Mus musculus: one gene and its partners. The protein of the gene in region 1 purifies or fractionates together with the protein of each later gene. This does not show direct contact. Links are inferred from orthologs where the notes say so. Each region holds a gene or a part of one and is shown on either strand. Other genes may lie near its edges.

What was found.
Region 2: the proteins of Rassf1 (region 1) and Sav1 purify together in Homo sapiens (affinity purification with western blotting; 3 studies listed by BioGRID, with this or other methods). This does not show direct contact. The link is inferred for Mus musculus from reciprocal best matches to the Homo sapiens genes RASSF1 and SAV1.
Region 3: the proteins of Rassf1 (region 1) and Map1b purify together in Homo sapiens (affinity purification with mass spectrometry; 3 studies listed by BioGRID and IntAct, counting the BioPlex papers as one, with this or other methods). This does not show direct contact. The link is inferred for Mus musculus from reciprocal best matches to the Homo sapiens genes RASSF1 and MAP1B.

Annotation. Positions count from the first base shown.
Region 1 is NC_000075.6:107,548,597-107,555,999, forward strand, and holds the start of Rassf1 (ras association domain-containing protein 1), read left to right. Parts: upstream 1-2,958; 5' UTR 2,959-3,000; coding exon 3,001-3,250; intron 3,251-5,541; coding exon 5,542-5,648; intron 5,649-5,986; exon of another isoform or gene 5,987-6,182; coding exon of another isoform or gene 6,183-6,329; intron 6,330-7,403. Other genes in the region: Zmynd10 (zinc finger MYND domain-containing protein 10), read left to right, coding at 74-190, 284-337, 432-772, 870-970, 1,279-1,451, 1,688-1,813, 1,902-2,023, 2,144-2,269 and 1 more. UniProt on the Homo sapiens protein: Potential tumor suppressor. Required for death receptor-dependent apoptosis. Mediates activation of STK3/MST2 and STK4/MST1 during Fas-induced apoptosis by preventing their dephosphorylation.
Region 2 is NC_000078.6:69,983,072-69,990,600, reverse strand, and holds the start of Sav1 (protein salvador homolog 1), read left to right. Parts: upstream 1-3,598; 5' UTR 3,599-3,833; coding exon 3,834-3,927; intron 3,928-5,948; coding exon 5,949-6,392; intron 6,393-7,529. UniProt on the Homo sapiens protein: Regulator of STK3/MST2 and STK4/MST1 in the Hippo signaling pathway which plays a pivotal role in organ size control and tumor suppression by restricting proliferation and promoting apoptosis.
Region 3 is NC_000079.6:99,424,294-99,431,060, reverse strand, and holds part of Map1b (microtubule-associated protein 1B), read left to right. Parts: coding exon 1-1,849; intron 1,850-3,603; coding exon 3,604-3,842; intron 3,843-5,099; coding exon 5,100-5,255; 3' UTR 5,256-6,767. UniProt on the Homo sapiens protein: Facilitates tyrosination of alpha-tubulin in neuronal microtubules. Phosphorylated MAP1B is required for proper microtubule dynamics and plays a role in the cytoskeletal changes that accompany neuronal differentiation and neurite extension.

The DNA of each region.
Region 1 (7,403 bases):
TAAAGCTGGGACAGGAAAGCTGAGGGACCAAGGCAGGGCCATTTCACCCCTGCTTCTCCCCCGTCCTCCGCAGATCCCAACGCTGGTGGAGGAGCTGATTGCGGTGGAGATGTGGAAACAGAAGGTTTTCCCTGTGCTGTGCCGGCTGGAGGACTTCAAGCCCCAGAATACCTTCCCCATATACATGGTGGTGAGCTGGGCCCTCAGAGTCCTGAGCCGAGAAAGATAGCTAACAGCCAGTCCCTGTCTCTCCCTCTCAGCCCAGCCCCGTCCTCTTCGACAGGTACACCATGAGGCCTCCATCATCAATCTCCTAGAGACAGTGTTCTTCCACAAGGTGAGACACTACTCTGCAGGCCTGAGCCTGGTGGGCTATGTCGGCCGGGGAGGGCATCGAACCCCAGAAATATCCCCTCCCTGAACCCCCCCAGGAGGTGTGTGAGTCAGCTGATGACAAGGTCTTGGACCTAGTAGACTATTGCCACCGCAAGCTGATACTGCTAGTGGCCCGGAAAGGCGGTGGTGACCTGTCTGAAGAAGAACAGTTCCAGGACAGTACCCCTATGCAAGTAAGCTACGGTTTCCTGGACTTAACAAAATCTCGATGTGAGTTCTCTCCAGCCTCCACAGGCAGGGTGAATGCTATGTGCCTGTGCCCCTACCCCCCTCTCCCGCACCATCAGGAGCTGCAAAAGCAGGCGGAGATGATGGAATTTGAGATATCCCTGAAAGCCCTCTCGGTGCTTCGCTACATCACAGACTGCGTGGATAGGTGGGCCACCCTCCAAGGCCCGGGGGCGAGCACACAACAAGGGGCTGTGTGTCCTGGCCCGTGGCCTCTGCTGACCACCCTTCTACCCTACCTCTAGCCTTTCCCTGAGCACACTGAACCGCATGCTCAGGACTCACAACTTGCCCTGCCTCTTGGTGGAACTGCTGGAGCACAGTCCCTGGAGCCGGCGGGTAGGAGGTAAGGCTCCCCCTCCCATTTGCCTAAGATGTAACTGGCTGCTTCCAGAACACCCTTCAGGATCAGTGTGAAGGGTACAGGGTACACATTTAGGATTCTGGGATACCTCACCCGAGATGGGACTAGAGTTTGACTCTGAGGCAGACAAGTCCTGTGAACCATTTGTTGAAGACTCCACCTTGTTCTGACGTCTGGTGGCCCAGGCTTTCTAACCTTGCCAGGCAGTGGTGGACAGTCCTCCGGACCACACACTCTCAAAGATAACACAACACCCACCGGCATCCGGTGGGCTCCTTCTCCTCCCCCAGGCAAGCTGCAGCATTTTGAGAGTGGCCGATGGCAGACGGTGGCCCCCTCAGAGCAGCAAAAGCTGAATAAACTGGATGGGCAAGTATGGATCGCCCTGTACAATCTACTGCTCAGCCCTGAGGCCCGAGCCCGTTACTGCCTTACAAGCTTTGCCAAGGGACAGCTGCTTAAGGTGGAGAACTCAATGACCCCGCCCAGCCCCACTGCCCCCCTGCCCAGACCCACCCCCCAGGGCATCCTGGCCTGTCCCTGTCCCCTTTCCACAACTTGGGCTTCAGGCATCGACAGGGGAGCTGGTAAGATGCAAACCCTCCAAGGACGCTCAGCCCAATTTCAGGACTTCCTGTCTCTTGGCCCTCTGGCTAGGAACAGTTAGTTTCTCAATGGCCTTCCCTGGATCTCTTGCAGCTTCAGGCCTTCCTCACTGACACACTACTCGACCAGTTGCCCAATCTTGCCGATCTGAAGGGTTTCCTGGCCCACCTGTCCCTGGCTGAAACCCAGCCCCCTAAGAAGGACCTAGTGTTAGAACAGGTAAGGCCCTAGAACATGCTTGGGAGTGCTTGGGACGGTGGTCCACTTTTCCGGCTCCTTCCTCCCTGTCTCCATTACACTTTTTTAGATCCCAGAAATCTGGGATCGCCTGGAGAGAGAGAACAAAGGGAAATGGCAGGCTATCGCCAAGCACCAGCTTCAGCACGTATTCAGCCTCTCGGAGAAGGATCTTCGTCAACAAGCACAGAGGTAAAGTCCACTGAGTGGCTGAAGTCACGTGCATAGGACCAAGGAGGGAAGGTCACCTAGTGCTTCTGTGCACCTACCTGCCCGGTCCGTCCATTCAGCTCTTCTCGACTCCTCCCCCAGGTGGGCTGAAACCTACAGGCTGGATGTCCTAGAGGCAGTAGCTCCGGAGAGGCCCCGCTGCGGCTACTGCAACGCAGAGGCCTCCAAGCGCTGCTCCAGATGCCAGAATGTGTGGTATTGCTGCAGGTGAGGCGATCCTGGGACCTTAGTTGCCCCCCTAAGCTCCAACCCTGGGTTCTCCTACAAGCCCTGTCATTGTCATGCAACCCACCCCGCTGCAGGGAGTGTCAAGTCAAGCACTGGGAGAAGCACGGAAAGACATGTGTTCTAGCAGCCCAAGGTGACAGAGCCAAGTGAAGGCCGTAGCTGCCGAGGGCCGACAGAAGAGCGCACCCAGACTGTGACTGAGCTTCAGGGACTCGTGGCTCGCCCCTGTCAGACCTCAATTTCCCTGGTGAGCACAGCTGAGTCAAGTAGAGCTGCAAACCACCACACTCTTCACTTCCTGCCCCACCCAGCGAATACGCAGAGGACCAGGCCACAGCATCAGCAAACTGGCAGACAGGGTTGGGGGGTGTAAGCAAGGGCCGGATGTGGAGACCCTCTTCCTTTCGCACAATAAAGCAGACTCATGAAACGCAACAGTGTGGCGCTGTACAGTCATCCTTGGGGTCGGGGGAGAAGACTGGACGGAAAGATTGGGAAGGGGCTCTTTGAAAGGGCCCACCCCTGTGCCGTGCCCCGCCCACAAGTCCACACGGTCGGCTCGCCTAGGGTTCCAGCGCGTCCTCCTCGGCTCTTTCCCGCCGCCCTGCCTGGATCCTGGGGGCGGTGCCGAAGTCGCGGCCCGCCCTGCGGCCTCGCCCGCTCGGTACTCACTAGCTGCTAGTCCGCTACAGCACCGGCCTGACCGGGCCATGTCGGCGGAGCCAGAACTCATTGAACTACGCGAGCTGGCACCGTCCGGGCGCATCGGTCCAGGCCGTACCCGGCTGGAGCGTGCCAACGCTCTGCGCATCGCCCCGGGTACAACACGCAATCCGTCACAGCAGCACGTCCCGGGTCGTGGCCACCGTTTCCAGCCTGCAGGGCCCACCACGCACACGTGGTGCGACCTCTGTGGAGACTTCATCTGGGGCGTCGTGCGCAAGGGCCTACAGTGCGCGCGTGAGTAAGCGGCCCCACACAGCCAGCGACTACGGAAAGGGAGGCAGCACCATAGTTGCGGGTCAAGCGGCAGTGGAGGGCTGGTCAGTTGTGATGATCCTGCAGACCAGATCTCCTGGCCTTGCTCCATCAGGGAGAGTGCTTGAGAAAATGGTTTATCACTTGTCACGCTCTGTCCGTGCACAGTTGGGCAGAGTTAGTTGTCTGTGAATAAGAAGGTGCTTCAAGTTTGTCTTTAAAGTGCTTGTGCCCTTTCTTGAAAAGCCTTTGTGCCTGCTGAGCTCTGAGCCTACATTCCGAGGCCCGCCTCTTCCCAACGATTGGCTCACTGTGTTCCCCCTCTAGATTCCTGGGTGACGTCTCCCACATTAATAGGGGGCCAGAAAAAGTTAGAACCTTAGTTAGGCTCCTTGTTAGTAGGAATTCTATTGAAACTTCAGTCAAGGTTGTTTTGAGTCAAGGATGCAGAGGCTAAAACATGGAGTCCAGCCACACACACAATGAGTGGTCCTTCTGACCTAGGAATTACCAGCAAACAGAACCACGCAGGACAATATATACCTTCCAGTCTCCTCGCGCCTACTTCTCCTCTCAGACTTGTTGACTCCGTTGTTGAAAGTGGACCTTAGGCATCCTGGTTTTTCTGTTTTGGTTTGGTTTTTTGGTTGTTTTGTTGTGTTTTAAGACAGGGTTTCACTCTGCAGCCCTGGCTTGCCTAGAACTCTCTATGCAGACCAGGCTGTGACAAGCAACCCACCTGCCCCTGCCTCCCAAGTTCTGATGTATAGTTTTGAGTTGAGAATCGGTGCTTTGGGCCATATAGGAACTTAAAAATGGCACTGTAGGCCTGTGTGTGCCTCCAGATCATCTCATTCACTATACAAGTATGTCACAAACTCAGCTAGTGTAGCAGTTTGTGACAGAATGCCACATGAGAGCAAGAGCTGCGGCATCTCAGCATTCACAAGGAGAAAGAAAGCTGCTCTGGGGTTCTTGTCTAGGAAGCAAGACAGTTTGGGAGATAAGGAAGAAACCAAAGGCAAATGGAGGGTTTGCTTCAGATTGGGCTTACAGTGATAACTTGTTGAGATAGGAACCCTGGGGTGGAGTGAAGTGGGGAAAAAAATGACATTTTGGCCATATTCATTAGAAATCTTCATTAGACATTAATGTGAAGGCACTGCACATAGGATTTGGTCTGAAGAGGCCGATCAGTGCTGCCTGGGATCTGGATCAGGTGAGTGTAGTCAGAGCTGGGACAGTACCCAGGTGAGAAACCTGGACATCAACTATGAGACCTGGGCCTTTATAGAACTAAGGAGAGGCTGCTGGCAAGAGCGGCAGAGGAGTGAGAAGGAAGCCTGGCCAGTGGGTGCTGCCCCTGGGAGTCAGGAGGAGCAAGCAGGAACTGAAGGATTTAACAATCCAGATAATGGGTACAGAAGTCAAAACGTTAGACATGTCCACTGGACATTGTGGCTCGTGGACAATAATCCTAACACTGGAGCTGTTGGAGGCAGGAGGATCACCAAGTTCAAGGTTACCATTTGGGGCTAACCTGAACTCTATGAGATTCTTTCTCAAAAACCAAAATAGACTTGTGTAAACAAGTGGAGACTAATAGGTTTTTTTCGGCCGAAGAAGTAAGCCAATTCAAGCGGAATTGAGAGTATGAAAGGAGGTTTATTGGGGGCGGCAGGTTCACCGATCCCAAGGAAGGAGGCTAGGGAAGTCGCCATGCAGACAGGGTAAGAGGGAGGATGTGTACGCAAGGAGAAAGAAATGCAGAGACAGAAAAAGAGACAGAGGAGGGGAACGAGGACAAAATGTCTGGATTATATAGGTAAGAGCCTTTGGGGGAGGGGAAGCCCAGTTCTGGTATGCCAGCTATATCCTGCAAGAGGTGTGGGCTAAGGGATGCTCGGGGAATCTGGAGGCCAGGTCTGCTTTGATGCGTTACATATGCACCTCTGCCGCTCGTCTGAAACCCAACAACAGGGGCAGAGGACAAATACAGGAAGTCGTAAATTAAATGCCTTTGTTTTCAAGTTAATGGCAAAGCTAAGTAATAGCTCGGCACAAGTGTTAAGCATGCTTGGATCCCTAACCGCCTGAGGCCTCCCAGCAAGTGTCCAGAGGTGCCTAACCGAGGCCTCTGGGATCGGTGTAGCAGTGGGCGGTAACCGGCTGGAGAAAAGGCCAGTGAGCCCCAAAACCTGTTAACAGAGGCTCCCTCATTCAGTGGGTCACTTCGCCGAGCTCCCCCGCCTCACGGCCAGCCCTTTCTGCAGACTGCAAGTTCACCTGCCATTACCGTTGTCGCGCGCTCGTCTGCTTGGACTGCTGCGGGCCCCGAGACCTGGGCTGGGACTCTGCACTAGAGCGGGATACGAACGTGGTGAGCGCGGGGTCGGGGGAGGGCGGGCCGGGAGGGAAGCCGAGACTCGGCGGAGGTGTGCAGGGTTAATCCCTACGCCGTGCATAATGAACACCCCAGTGATCAATTTCCCGGCATCAGAGATGCTAGTTTCGCTGGGTTTGTCAGGCGAAGGCGCTCCCTGGCTGGGAGCACGCGCACCTCTCACACCCCGCTTCCGGCCCTAAGGGCAGCGGCGGTGCACATGCGCACACGCCCCGGCCCGCTGGGAGGCGGGACCTGAGAGGCGGAGCCGAGTGGAGATGCCTCTGCGATGAGGTCATCCGTCGAGCTGTAGCGTCGTGGCCCCGCCCCTCGACGTCTTCACCCCCTCACCCCCCTCGACACCAGAGCTAAAGTCGGGCTGTCTACGTTTCAGTCCTAACGGTTGCCGCGCGGCGCTGGCCTCCGCGCAAGCGCGACCTGACACACTCACACGCACGCACGCACGCACGCGCCCGAGGCGGTGGTTAGAGGCTCTCCACGCAGTGGACTAGGGATCGGGCGGGTAAGGCGATGGGCGAGGCTGAAACACCTTCCTTCGAAATGACCTGGAGCAGCACAACCAGCAGTGGCTACTGCAGCCAGGAGGACTCGGACTCGGAGCTCGAGCAGTACTTCACGGCGCGTACCTCGCTGGTCCGCAGGCCGCGTCGGGACCAGGTGGGGAGCCCGGGGGGTGCCGCCGGCGGGTGAGGGGCGGTCGCTGGAACCCCGCCCCTCCCCGGTAAGTTGCGGCCTGGAAAGTTAGGTGATGGGCAGCCTCCCCGCCTCTCCATAGCGAGCCACTCGGAGGGTCCTGACAAAAGCGAGGAAGCGTACGTAGGGTTCTCTGTCCCGAGTAGAAGCCCAGTTCCAGCGCGATGGTACTGAGGACCCAGGCTACCCTGCCCTTGCAGTCACAGACCGGTTGAGCCAGGGGGAAGCAACTCTGAAGCTTGAAGGGTGGACCACAGGCGGGCGTTTTTCACCCATGACTAAAGCCAGACTCGCAATCCAAACCGGCGTCTTGATTTCGCATTTGGGCGCTCCCACTCCCTCCCTGGGGGAAATGAGGAAGTGGAGGAGGAGTCCACCGGGAAGTGAGAAGTTAGTTTGGGAGGGGACTCTGGCCGTGCCGTGATGCGGTCTTGGATCAGCCAGCAAAGTGCCCAGCCGTTGCTCGACCAACTCTTTGACACCAGCTGCTGGACTCGATCTTTCTTTCCTCCATGGTGGAACTGTGCAGAGGGATTTGGGGAATTCAGGAAGAGGGCCTTAAAAGACTATTAAAAAAAAAAAAGTGTGGTACCAGGGCAGCTGAACCTCTTTAAAAAGTCTAGATGTGCCCAAATTATCCGACTTTCTGGGAATATCATAGTTGTGGCCACCAAGCTCGGATAACTTGTTCTGGAGCGGGAATCCCTCGGAACAGCACAGAGGCCAGCGAATCAGGAAAGTGAGGACGGAGACTGAGGTTAGAAAACTTAGTAGCACTGAACTAGAACTCCTTATTTGAGCCAAGAAAGTGGAATTGTCTGTGATGCTGTAGGTGAGATTTGATATAAATTTCCTACAGGTGGACTGCTACTTGACACCTCCAAAACCTTAGTCCAGACTTTAGACTCAATGTGGGGTGGGAGTGGGGGCGGGAGGGTGTCTCTGGGATTGTCTCCATACCACTCAACCTGAGTCATCTTCTATTATGGAGAGGTGGGGGAAAATATAAGATACTGGCCAGTTGAAAGGCATACAAAG
Region 2 (7,529 bases), on another chromosome or scaffold:
AAGAAAGCACCTAATTAAGGCTTTCTCTCTGCTGTAATTCAAAGGATTGAACGGCTCTGGAAAAACAGCTTCGTAGGGAATGTGGATGGCTTTTAAAGCAAATGTGTAACAAACAGTGTGGACTCGTCTTGAATATGGTACAGCAGGGAAAGGCCCCAGACGGGACGAGAAACCTCCAGCTCTGACAGCCTTTGTTTGGTTGAGTTGATGACAAGCTCTCAGCACTGCAGGCTGACCTGGATGGATGCTCAACGGAGGCTGACTTTGAAATCTTGTTCCTCCTGCCTCACCCTCAAGCACTGAGACATCTTACAGGCTTGCTCACTGTACCTAGCTCTGCTCTTCATCTCCAGCTGGTGGGTGGTACAGGATATCTGATCACACTGTGAGCCCCAAGATCATGTTATCTATTGAAAAAAACTTGTTTCTAGTTGTGGTGTGGCTCAGTCCTTAGCCCACACCTTTCGTCTCTCTGGCTGGAATACAGACATGCCCTCAGCACACACCTTTAATTCTAAACTATGAAGCTAAAGTTAGTTTGTAGAAGGAAGCACCCATATTTGAAAGTGGTGTCTGCAGTGAGAAGGGTCCAGAAGATTAGTATATATTGCTGAAGTTAAGTTTGAGGCCAAGCAGAGCAAAAAGTCAGAAGCCAAGAGAGAAGCCAGATTGAATCAGTCAGCTCGGAGAGGAGTTTGCGACGGAAGAGCTGAGTTGAATCAGCCGGCCAGAGTTCAGTAAGAACAAGAAAGGGTGAGCTTACTCAGTGGCAAGTCTCAGAGGCTGAAAACATTCTAAGCCTAAATTAGACTGAGGCTAGAAGCTTCCAGAACTAGGCTTAGGTTAGCAGACCGAGGCAGTAAGCCTCTGGAGATGACAATTACATGAAGCGAATAAAAGTCACACTAAAGCAATTTTAGATGGGCCTAGAAACCCCGGGGGCGGGGGGCAGATTCTCAGAAGTAACCTGTCCTGTCCACGATGCCTTCCTGGTCCTCTGCTTCCAGTAACTCACGTGATGATGAAGACCCTCCCCGTCTGGCCCAGAAACAGGAAGCCAGGTGACCATGGTCTAAACCTTTAAAACTCGTAACTCTAAACCAGGTTTTCTCCTTTACATCGTTTTGTCAGACGATGGTCACAATCATGAGAAAGGTGACTAGTGTCGTTCTGCCACCAAACAGGAAGGTGATCTAAGACAACATGTAATGTTTTTTTCATGAGTTTAACATAGTTGATTTCAGAACTCCCATCCAGCTACAAAATCCTATGACTTTTCCTCTCATGAATGTGGAAAGCATACTTCACTCCATTCTCTGGAAAGCCCAGGTCTAAGGAACTATCTTAACAAGATCCCAGCAACCTCACTTCCTGTCCTCTGAGGTCAGCCTTGGGAATTTTAGGGCAACTTCTTTCTCCTTTACCTCCCTTCCTCAAATTCTTCACGGAAAACCCCATTGTCTTTTCTCTTTCACCCTTGCGTGTTCTCTATCTGCACTACCGACTCTTTAGAGCTAGCATTTGTATCTGAACCACAGCAATACTTGAGTGCGCTTCCTCTCCTCAGACAACGTGCTCTATGAACTGCGTTTGGGTAATGAAGGTTTACACAAGGAGCAACCCTTTGTTCTCTTTTTCTTTTTATTAGATATTTACATTTCAAATGTTATCCCCTTTCCCGGTTTGCCTTCCAAAAACTCCCTCTCCCCTCCTCTCTCCCCCTGCTCACCAACCCACCCACACCCGCTTCCTGGTCCTGGCATTCCCCTACACTGGGGCATAGAAACTTCACAGGACCAAGGGCCTCTCCTCCCATTGATGACCGACTAGGCCATCCTCTGCTACATATGCAGCTGGAGCTATGAGTCCCACCATGAGTAATCTTTGGTTGGTGATTTAGTCCCTGGGAGCTCTGAGAGTACTGGTTAGTTCATATTGTTGCTATGGGCTGCAAACCCCTTCAGCTCCTTGGGTCCTTTCTCTAGCTTTTTTTTTTTTTACTCTTATGCCATAATCAATCTGTCAGCAAACCCTGCTGCAACTCTAAAATGCCTACAATCACTTAGCGCTTGTCCTGCTGCCTTTATCCATATGCATGCTAGCAATATTTTTTTATCACCTCCCTTATTTTGAAACCCCACTCCCCCATTCAGTCTACTCTCACACAGCATCCAAAGTGATCGCATTAAATACGTCTCTCCTCTACTCCAAAGGCCTAGGTGGGTGGCCAGTTACCAAGGAACTTCATTTCCCTCTACTCTTCTCTGTTCCAGTTCCAGCTACGTGACCCTCTTCCTATTCCTACAATGAGCCAGAAACACGACCACTTGCAGTGACTTGCATTTGCTCTTCTGAGGCCTCACTCCAGATAGCACCATAGCAAGCTAATTCCAGCATTGCCTTCTCACTGGCTTCATTATCCGACCCCCTTTCCAAGCTGTGGGATCTCTCTTGTTTATGCTTCCTTCAGCGCTCACTCTGTTACATACTATGGCTTACTAGTTTTATTTTTTGTGATCTCTCTTCCCCATAACCGCAGGACCTTTGTTGTTATATCCCAGACACCTAAAACAGCACCTTGGATGCTGGGTGCTCAATAAAATATTTGTTATAGGATTATAGGGACCTTTAACAAGGAAACATTTCATAAAAACACAGGAGACAGACAACTGATTAAATGTCTTTGTGCATGGCTAAAAAAAAGAGCAGTTTGGTGTCTTGTTCTGAGGTTGGTGTTTTGCTTCTGTGTTTTAAGCACATTCTCTTCATTATGAAAGCCTTACTTTGATCAAGAGGAGTGAGTCCCAATCTTATTCTCCAAGTTATTCTGTGTACCTGAGCGAGTTAAAGAGAACAAAGTAGAATCTGATATATTAGATAGAAAACTCCCAGTTCTGAACTCTGGTGCTCAAAGGCTTCAAAATTCTAAGACTTAACTGCAAGAGAAGGCATGTGGTTATTAAGAATACATATTAAAATGATGAAATAAATACACTAACGTCAAATTTATCTTAGGAGCTGTAGAAACTCCATCTTCTTTTTTAATCCGAAAGCGCGGATGGGGATGGGGGGCACAAAAGGGGGTGGGCTACCAAGGGTTGGGGGAGATAATAAGAGGACAGAAGAAACGGAGACTCAGTTTTTACAGTAGTCACGCTGTCACCAGAAGAGTCATCTGTGTTACTAGGTGTAGCCCTCGCGGTCCCAGCACACCCGAGGGCTGCCTTCCCTCAGCAACCAGGACACGCGGCTGCGGTTGCGGGAAGCAGGGCGGTAGGCAAGTCCAAGGCGAGAGCCGCTCGCCGCCCAGCGGGCTCCGGACCGCCCGGACTCCAGCTCCCCAGCGGCGGGAGCCGGCCCGCGCAGCCGCACTGAGGGCCGCGATGGTCGCCACACCCGGCCCGTTAGCCGCCCGCCCGTCGCGAGTCGCCGCACGCAGCCGCGTCCGCGCCCGGCGGGGGAGGGGCGGCCCGTGCGCGTCGGCTTTCCCAGCATTCCCAGCGGCGCGGGGAAAGTTTACCGGACGTAGGCGGTGGCCGCAGCGGTAGCGGCTCCGGGCGGCGGACCATGGCCCTGGTGGGCGGCCGCGGCCCTGTCCCAAGGCGGCCTCGGGCGGCGTCGTTGAGCCGGCTGACTTCCCGGGAGGAGCTGCCCTGCGACTGAGCGGCGGCGGGCGCGCTTAGCGCGGCCAACATGCGGCGGAGCCTGCGGGCGGGCGCGGGCGGCGGAGACCCGAGGCGAAGGCGGCGGCGGCGGCCCGGGAGGCGGCGGCGGGCGGCAGGCTCGCGGCCCTAGCGAGGCTGCTGGGGCGGCGGCGGGAGTCGTCCGCGAGGATGCTGTCCCGCAAGAAAACCAAAAACGAGGTGTCTAAGCCGGCCGAGGTGCAGGGCAAGTACGTGAAGAAGGAGACGTCGCCCCTGCTGCGGAGTGAGTGTCGTGGGCGGTGGCGGGTGGGGACCCGGCGCAGCCTCGGGTGGTGCTGGAAGACCGACTCTGGGAAATGCATGGCTGTCCGTGGTGTTGGGGAAAAAGTGCTTCGACCCGGGCACCTCTCTGCTGGGTACGTCCGGGCCCCGCGTTTGCGACCATCGCAGCGCCACTCGTCGGCTCACGCACTCGCACACGCACACACACACGCGAGAGTGGATTCCTTCCTTAGTCCTGCAGCGGGACACAAACTTGTGAGGCAAAGAACCTGATACTTGATACTTGTAGCCACTACCAGCGTCCTAAGTAACACACACACACACACACACACACACACACACACACACACACACACACGAGAGACTTGATACTTGTAGCCACTACCAGCGCCCTAAGTAACACACACACACACACACACACACACACACACACACACACACACACACACACACACACACACACACACACACGAGAGAGAGACTGGATTCCTTAGTCCTTCAGCGGGACACAGACTTGTGAGGCAAAGAACCTGATACTTGTAGCCACTACCCAGAGTCTTTTCATTTCCCAGAGTAGACAAGCCATTAACGTATTTGGATTAGGCTTTGCTCCTAAAATTAAAAAAAGCAAAGTATTCAGAATAATTTCAGCCATACCAGGCAAGTTCCTAACTTTATTCCTCTTTCCGACATATGTTCCGTCCCCTCCCGTACGTAGCTTTTCTTCTCCGTTTAAAATATTTGAGTTTTTAACTTGAACGCCTTGATTCTCCTTTTTTAAAATTCTTGGGTAGTCAGAGAGCTAATCCTTTGGTTCTCATTCTAGGAGCTGGACCCCTTGTGTAAGTTTCCTTCTTGGAAACTGGAAGTAACCGTGTGACTTAAATTAAGCATTACCTCATATTGTAATTGGGAAAGCTGCTCACAGGGGTTCCTAGTATTTGCCCAAGATCCCGCAGAAAGGGGTGGAGAGCATATTTTTCCATTGTGACCATGTGTCCAGCCTTACAGGTTCTGTTAGTAGTTGGAGTGCTAGACAACACAGTTGGTGGGGTGGATGTGTCAGTAACTGAAACCATTTTTAAGAGCTTGTTTTTCTGTTTTTTTTAGGTGATAGCTTGCTTTTTGCTGCAAATAAAGTTTATTAAGCATCATTTGAAGTCATGCCACTTGTTGAGTCTTTTAGTGAGTGACTCCATACAGAATTTGTGTCATCGACAGTTAATTATTCCAATATTAAGTTACTGTAGTGTTAGCTTCTGACACCCTTAGTGACATTGATTTAATGAATTCAGAAAATGTGTTCTATATCCAGGTTTCATATTTTAAAGGTAGTTGCTTTCTAAGAACATGAAAGCTGTTTGCACATTCAAATCAGCAGCCATGACCTTGGTTTGGGTTATCTGCTTTTAAAGGAGCCATAATTCTTTCCAGGCTTTTTCAGTAGATCCAGGGTTTGTGTGCATCTTTGGAAGTAGATGACTTTATTTTTCAGTTTCCACACTGAAAGGTCTTGCTTTCTAGTTTTGATAATTGTGCTTAGAACCGGGTAATTCCTGATAGAAAGACAAAAAAAAAAAAATTACCAATAAAAAAGTCTTTTACAGGAAATCTGACTTTGCGGTTTTTTCTTTAAATTTTATTTTAATGAGATGTGTTTGTGAAGAAAGATTCTTGGTGATACTTAAATCAAGTGAAAACACCAAACTGTAGTCATACATGATGCTGGTAAAGGAATTGGTTTGTTAGGTTACTTTCAGCTTAGTGACATTGTATCATGTATGGCAATATGCAGCATCCATTCGTTTGTAGCTGAGTTTACACCTGCATATTAATGCAGATTATAAATGTATTTGCTTGGGAAAATAATCTTCATTTAAAGTTCTAGTATTGTCTTAAAATTTAAAATCTGTTTTCTTATGCCCTTTTGTTTGATATTTTGATCTCAGGATAGTAGACATAAATAACTTTAGACGAGTGTACTGACTTAATGCAATGGTGATTATATTTGTTTTATTATAGATCTCATGCCTTCATTCATTCGGCACGGTCCAACAATTCCCAGACGGACTGACCTCTGTCTTCCAGATTCAAGTGCTACTGCTTTCTCAGCTTCTGGAGATGGTGTAGTTTCAAGAAACCAGAGTTTCCTGAGAACTGCAATTCAAAGGACACCTCATGAAGTAATGAGAAGAGAAAGCCACAGACTGTCTGCCCCTTCTTACCTTGTCAGGAGCCTAGCAGATGTCCCTCGAGAGTGTGGCTCATCACAGTCATTTTTGACAGAAGTTAACTTTGCTGTTGAGAATGGAGACTCTGGCTCCCGATACTTCTTCTCAGATAACTTTTTTGATGGACAGAGAAGGCGGCCACTTGGAGATCGTGCACAAGAAGATTACAGATATTATGAATACAACCATGATCTCTTCCAGAGGATGCCACAGAGTCAGGGGAGGCACACTTCAGGTAACTCGATATAATAAACAGCACACTGGCTTATTCATACTGATATTTAAATTAAAAGGTGACCTGAGGATTTTCTTGGAAAGCAAAAAAAGCAAAACAAACCATACTCTTAGAGGGGAAAAAATTTCCATTTTGCCCTTCTTGCTTCCTCCTGCTTGCTGGTAGTTTTTAACTTATAATGAAGGACAGAATTCTTGTGTCTGTCCTCTATGTCATATTTTTGGCTTTTTGTAGGCAATTACTATTCCCCAGGTTGGTTAAAAAGACTGAGCAGATGGCTCACTTTGTGTGAAACATGCCTTTTTTTGTAACAGGCAGGAAACCCTGGCACTTCCTTTTCCCTTGACCTGGAAGGGCTTCTCCGAGGTGGGGATTAAGGAATGTTGCAGCTCCACTTAATTTCTAAAATGGCCATTACTGTAGATAAACTGGTAGAAGCTAAAAAGAGAACTTTCATCCTGTTTAGTAACTGTTAGGCTTTAAATTTGGCAGGGTAAAGATTGTGTGAGGTTGGTTTGCTTTTTAGTGGCCACAGCTTCTAATAAACTGACTTAACAGTTTGGAACATAACTGTATCAGCCATGAAGTTTGCTTTTATTTAATATTAATTATATGTTTAGCATTTTCTTGATCCTCTTGGGATATCTTATTTAGTGAGACAAAACCAGCATACACTTAATAGTCGTGGAACAACGAATGGTTATACTTTGTAGTCCTCACTGTTGAGGGAGCAGAGAAAGACCAGTGTAATTGGACTACTTAAAGGAATGCACACTCCAAGGAGCAGAGAAAGTTTGAAGTAGGCTTTGAGCTTGGACTGGACATTAACAAGGCAGAAGAAAGACATTTTAGGTTGAAAATTGGGAATACCCACTGCAAAATGAAGTGCAGTGGCTTAAATTTAAGAGATTATATTCCTACGTATTTTAAGAAATACGGTAGTAAGGTGAAATGGAGATTCATGGTCCAACAGAAAGTTTAGACTTGAAATCAGCCATTGTATAGCTCAAGATCAATGCCTGGAGAGTTGGCTCTGTGCTTAAGAGCACTGGCTGTTGTTTCAGAGGACTGGGTTCATTTCCTAGCATTTATGTGGAGACTCACAACCTATAACTCCAGTTCAAGGGGATTCGACGC
Region 3 (6,767 bases), on another chromosome or scaffold:
TCTGTGTCTCAGGTAGAGGCTTCCCCGTCCACCTCTTCAGCTCACACCCCTTCTCAGATAGCCTCTCCTCTTCAGGAAGACACTCTCTCTGATGTTGTTCCTCCCAGAGAGATGTCCTTATATGCCTCACTTGCGTCTGAAAAAGTGCAGAGCCTGGAAGGAGAGAAGCTCTCTCCGAAATCTGATATTTCTCCACTCACCCCACGAGAGTCCTCACCTTTATATTCACCTGGCTTTTCAGATTCTACCTCTGCAGCTAAAGAGACTGCAGCAGCTCACCAAGCCTCCTCTTCCCCACCAATAGATGCAGCAACAGCAGAGCCCTATGGCTTCCGCTCCTCAATGCTATTTGATACAATGCAACATCATCTGGCCTTGAATAGAGATTTGACTACATCTAGTGTGGAGAAAGACAGCGGAGGGAAGACACCCGGAGACTTTAACTATGCCTATCAAAAGCCTGAGAATGCCGCCGGATCTCCAGATGAAGAAGATTATGACTATGAATCTCAAGAGAAAACCATCCGGACCCACGACGTGGGTGGTTACTACTATGAGAAGACAGAGAGAACCATAAAATCCCCATGTGACAGTGGGTACTCCTATGAGACCATTGAGAAGACCATCAAGACCCCAGAAGATGGTGGCTACACCTGTGAAATTACCGAGAAAACCACTCGGACCCCAGAAGAGGGTGGCTATTCATATGAGATCAGCGAGAAGACGACACGGACCCCTGAAGTAAGCGGCTACACCTATGAAAAGACTGAGAGGTCCAGAAGGCTCCTGGATGACATTAGCAATGGCTATGATGACACTGAGGATGGCGGCCACACACTTGGCGACTGTAGCTACTCCTATGAAACCACTGAGAAAATTACCAGCTTTCCTGAGTCTGAAAGCTATTCCTACGAGACAAGTACAAAAACAACACGGAGTCCAGACACCTCTGCATACTGTTACGAGACCATGGAGAAGATCACCAAGACCCCACAGGCATCCACATACTCCTATGAGACCTCAGACCGATGCTACACTACGGAAAAGAAGTCCCCCTCAGAGGCACGCCAGGATGTTGATTTATGTCTGGTGTCCTCCTGTGAATTCAAGCATCCCAAGACGGAGCTCTCGCCTTCCTTCATTAATCCAAATCCTCTTGAGTGGTTTGCTGGTGAAGAGCCCACTGAAGAATCAGAGAAGCCCCTCACTCAGTCTGGAGGAGCCCCCCCACCTTCAGGAGGAAAACAACAGGGCAGGCAATGCGATGAAACGCCACCCACCTCAGTCAGTGAGTCAGCCCCATCCCAGACAGACTCTGATGTTCCCCCAGAGACGGAAGAGTGCCCCTCCATCACAGCCGACGCCAATATTGACTCTGAAGATGAGTCAGAAACTATCCCCACAGACAAAACCGTCACATACAAACACATGGACCCACCTCCAGCCCCCATGCAAGACCGAAGCCCTTCTCCTCGCCACCCCGACGTGTCCATGGTGGACCCAGACGCCTTGGCCGTTGATCAGAACCTAGGCAAGGCTCTGAAAAAAGACCTGAAGGAGAAGACCAAGACCAAGAAGCCAGGCACAAAGACCAAGTCCTCTTCACCTGTCAAAAAGGGTGATGGGAAGTCCAAGCCTTTAGCAGCTTCCCCCAAACCAGGAGCTTTGAAGGAATCCTCCGACAAGGTGTCCAGAGTGGCTTCTCCCAAGAAGAAAGAATCCGTGGAAAAAGCTACAAAGACCACCACCACTCCTGAGGTCAAAGCCACACGCGGAGAAGAGAAGGACAAGGAGACCAAGAACGCAGCTAACGCCTCTGCATCCAAATCAGCGAAGACCGCAACGGCAGGTAGGTGGGGTCACTTGAAAGCCTGCCCGCTTCTCTGTCTGTCCTTTTGCTGGGAAGACCAGAAATGGTGGACTGATGCTCTACCTTTCGTCCACCTTCCTCTTCTGCTTAAAGGTTCACCTCCTGGCCCAGTGTGGCTTAGAGAGAGCAAAGTGTGGTGGGATCCGTCTGGTGGGATTTCTGGGCTGATGTCATTCTGGACAGCAGCTGTAGGCCTGTTGCAAACCTTCAGAATTAAGGATGTGTGTCTCGGGCTGCTCAGGGAGGCTTCAGGCAGGCTGACCTTAAAAATCACATCAGGGTGACAGATCAGGAACTCCCAAAGGCGTATGGCAGACCAAAGGTTTCCCTGGCAAACCTGGAATTTTGTCTAAGCCCGATATTTATTTCTTCTGTAAAATTTAAAATGTAAAATTATAAAAATGTACACCTTTGGGGAAAAAATCCTAACATGTAGGCAATATATGTGCCCATTGAAACATCTGCCGTGTTTTCTTACCTGCTAGTAAACAATTTGATTCCAGTTGACCAATAAATATCGAGTAGAAAAAGAGGAAACCGTTAAAGTTGTTTCTCCTTTCTACCCACGGCCTTGCTAGCACAGTGATTTCTCAGGCCCGGAATTCCACTCAGCAGGAGCTAAGTAGAAATGCCTGCTGGCTCCCCATTCGCCACTGATAGCCAGCAATCTCCATTCCTTAGTGATGACTTGAGACTTTTCTTTTGTTTTTGTGAGGTAGGTTCTTGCCATTTCAGAAATTATTGGCAATTATTTCCAAGCTCCAACCCCAAATTTCTTAAACATTTTTCCCCTGAAGCTCAAGACGTTAACTCAAATAGCAGTGTTTTATTTTTAAATCATTGTAGCATGAACCAATCTAAAGATACACTAGTTTGATACTTAGGTGCTGATGCAATGGTAGAAAACTATGAGAAGCCTTTGTTTCCATAATTCAACTCTTCTGTTTCTACAAGAGCAGTGTGTTTCAGACACCACCCATTGTATTGCAGAGTAAGACAGCGAGCACACTGTGGGACCAGAACCAGGGCTACCGTGAAGCTGTGTGTGCCATGCTGCACACATGACCGGAAACCCCATGCATCATTACATCTGATTTTAAATTAAGTTCAATGGGTGATCAGAAATTTCTTACTGTTGAAAAACATATTTGTCCATTCATGTTTAGTTTTTCAATTCCGTATGGCATCAGGATCCATAAGTTAAGCCTCTGTCTTATAGAGCTTTTCAAACTAAAATACACATTAGTACAAGTAGACCCTTTGGATGGAGAGTACTCTTATCTAATTCCTACATATATATATATTGGCTTTCTCGAGACAGGGTTTCTTTATATAACAGCCCCCGGCTGTCCTGGAACTCACTTCATAGACCAGCCTGTCCTCAAACTCCTAGAGATCCATATGACTCTGCTTCTCGAGTGCAGGGATTAAAGGCATGCATCACCACTACCTGGCACTAATGCCTTTAAAAAAAAACAAATCGAAGAAACTCTTTTTTCTTTTCTTCCTAAGGGGTTGTCTGCAAAGGGAAGCCAAGTCTTTTTCAGTTTCTCCTATTGAGCTGGTAAAGAAGCACGGTATAATTTCTCCTAATGTTGGAGGCCCTACATGAGGAGCCAGGGAACTGGGACTCCTACCATCCCTTTCATGTCCCAGAGACTGCAGCTGGGGATCCGTGGATGTGTCTGTGTCTTCACACTGCTATGACCCTTGCTTTGTGTTTGTTCCCAAAGGACCAGGAACCACTAAGACAGCCAAGTCGTCCACCGTGCCTCCAGGCCTCCCTGTGTATTTGGACCTGTGCTATATTCCCAACCACAGCAACAGTAAGAATGTCGATGTTGAGTTCTTCAAGAGAGTGAGGTCATCTTACTACGTGGTGAGTGGGAACGACCCTGCCGCGGAGGAGCCCAGCCGGGCTGTCCTGGATGCCTTGTTGGAAGGGAAGGCTCAGTGGGGAAGCAACATGCAGGTAAGAGCATGGGGCCATGTCTGAGGTGCATTTGAACTCATTATAGAAGTAAAGAGAAGGAAACATTGAAATAGGCGTCTTTGTCCCTGTGGATCCACATGTAGTGCCTCCTGACTGTTGCATGTGAAATATGCCAATGAAGTTTTCAACTGATGTTTTCCAGGAACCACAACCAAGCTGTAAAAATTAATTCTTTTTTCATCGAGGGGAGGAGTTGTAGCCTAGAATCTAAATCAGCTAGGAACTTGTAGTTCAAATAACAGGTCAGTTTAGCTTACAGAAGATAGCCTAAGGTGGCCTCCTTGACAGGGTCACTATCAGTAGCAGTGGAGGAGCACCGCCTTACCTAAGACAGAGTCCACACATCGGTAAAATGACCTGAAATGAATTGCTGTCCCAACCCTGCCTCTCTCCCCCCAATTCTGAGTATTGTATGTGTGAATCAAAGTTGTCCTGAGCCTGTGGAATTGCTGCTAAGGAATTATCTTACTCACTAGTAGACTAAAGCTAGGAACATGGTCACTGGCCAAGATACGTGGGATCAAGTCTCCAGGTGAAATTCCAGACTGGTGTCATTGCCTCTCCTCTCCGGATATATTCTGCTCCAGCCCCTCCGGGCTGGCTATGAACCATCCAGTCTCCATGTTCCTATTGGGCTCTGATCACTGGTTATCTGATTTGTGGGACTGCAAATCATCACCTAGCAACTTGTGCTCACATCTTCCATAAGGTTGCTTCCAAAGAATTCCACAGTGTTCACATGAGAAGTACCAAAGTCGGTACTCCCCTCCTACAGCACAGACTCTGTTTTCAGGCCAATGTGTGGGCTTCTGGGGGTTTGAGCTACAATATTAAACTTCGTGCACTAAGTGTGGAATATATAGGCTGTACAACATCTGCCCCATGTTAATGGAAACACGAGAAACAAACAGTTCTCAACACCACTTCGTTAAAAAGCCATCTGAAATTTACATGCAAGTTCCTAGGTAATTTAGATTCTAGGCTTGAACTCTTCCCTTCAATGACATCCCAAAAAATTTTTTTTAAATTAAAAAAAAAAACCTTCTAATTTTTACAGCTTGGTTGTGGTTCTTGGAAAACATCAGTTGAAAACTTCATTGGTATTTTTCTGGTAAAACGGCATTTTTTTTCCTTTTATCCCTTTCTGCTAGTGATCCAACAGACACCTTGTTCTGTTTTTACTCTGGCATCTATCCCTGCTGTCCTTTAAATATCTCCTTTTCTCCCCCTCCGTAGGTGACTCTGATTCCGACACATGACTCCGAGGTGATGAGGGAGTGGTACCAGGAGACCCACGAGAAGCAGCAGGACCTCAACATCATGGTCTTAGCAAGCAGCAGTACAGTGGTCATGCAAGACGAGTCCTTCCCCGCATGCAAGATAGAACTGTAGAGACCGCAGCCGGCCACACCACAGGATTTGAACTGTGTTTCCAGAAATTCTTGAATTTGAAACTACCTTTTCTAAAACGTCCATTCATCCAATTAAGTCACTGAACAGTTATTACCTGCCAGATGCTATACTATGTCATGGTGATGCAAGTCACTGATAGTTCTCAATTTTTGCTGACTGCTAAGGGAAGTAACCATATTCCCACAATAGATTTCGAGTTACTGCAAAATTGCCTACCCCCGTTCATCTCTGCTGAACATTCGGAAGCCATGCACTCACGCACCCAACTGACTTCTGCTAGGTATTGGCATTTATCATAGAGAGAGAAAGAGAGGGAAAGAGAGTCAGCGGGAGGGGAGGGAGAGAGGCGGGAGAGAGGGACAAAGAGACTGCAGGAGAGAGAGAGAGAGTGAGAGGGGAAGAATCAGAAAGAAAAAGAATGCAAGAGACAAAGGTAGAGAGTTCTGATGAGATGCCCAGGGAGAGAGAGTGGGCAAGATGGGGTATAGAGAAGACACCAGCAACCAGGTCTGCATTTTCTCAGACCACAGCTATTCTGTGGTCTACACAGGTGGAGTTTCCCATTTTCATCAGAGTCATCAGAAAGAGTCTTATTCTCCTAAAGCGTGTTTCTAAAGAACAAAAAGAATGAAGCCTGTTACGAGGGCATGAGCTTTTTCACGCCTTAATTCAATGCCTTTGCTATTATAAAGGCTGCACACGGCATAATGTAGCAAGTGTAGACTGGATGAGTGAGTGGTTTGCGCCCCATTCAGAACTCTCAGACTTTTCGAACACGTGAGTAGGTTGATCTAAGGCATGCTCCCAGCATTTGTCTACCCAAGTCCACACCAAGTCAAGCTGCATGCAGCAACACCCAAGTCCACCCCGGTTAACTGAAGCAAATACCAAAGCAGGTGGGAGTACACATGGGAGACATTTTGCCTTAGGAAGTGACTTGAATGTACAAAGACACCTGATGCACTTATTTTTTAATGTGAGACAGCAAGTTTTTAAACCATCCATGTAGGATTGTAGATACTCCAGGGAAAGGAGCGTGTGGGGAGGGAAGGTACCAGAAGCTCATCTGATTGGCCCAACGGTTTAGTGCAGAGTCATGCTTGGTGAACATCACCACTTCTGATGTACCCGTGGCCACTCAACCAAATCCGTTGCACCTTTCGTAGCTTCTTTAATTCTTCAAGTTCAAGACCGGAATGGCTTCTTTGATCAGAACCAGGAAAACAGTGAATCTTATGGTGGAAGAGCTCTCAGCAAGTGTACAGCATCTGCCTTCCTTTGTCTTGCATTGGCTATTTTAATTTTCCATTAATTTCAACACATGGGAACACATGTACAGAAGATTTTTTTTTTTTTTTTTTTTTTTTTTAGCTACTCGAGAACTTTTCATAGATGAACTTTTTAACAAATGTTTTCATTTACAGGAAAACGCAAAGAAAATTTTGAAACGATGGTCTTTCTTTTTAATTATTATTTTAAGTGTTTTTTGTA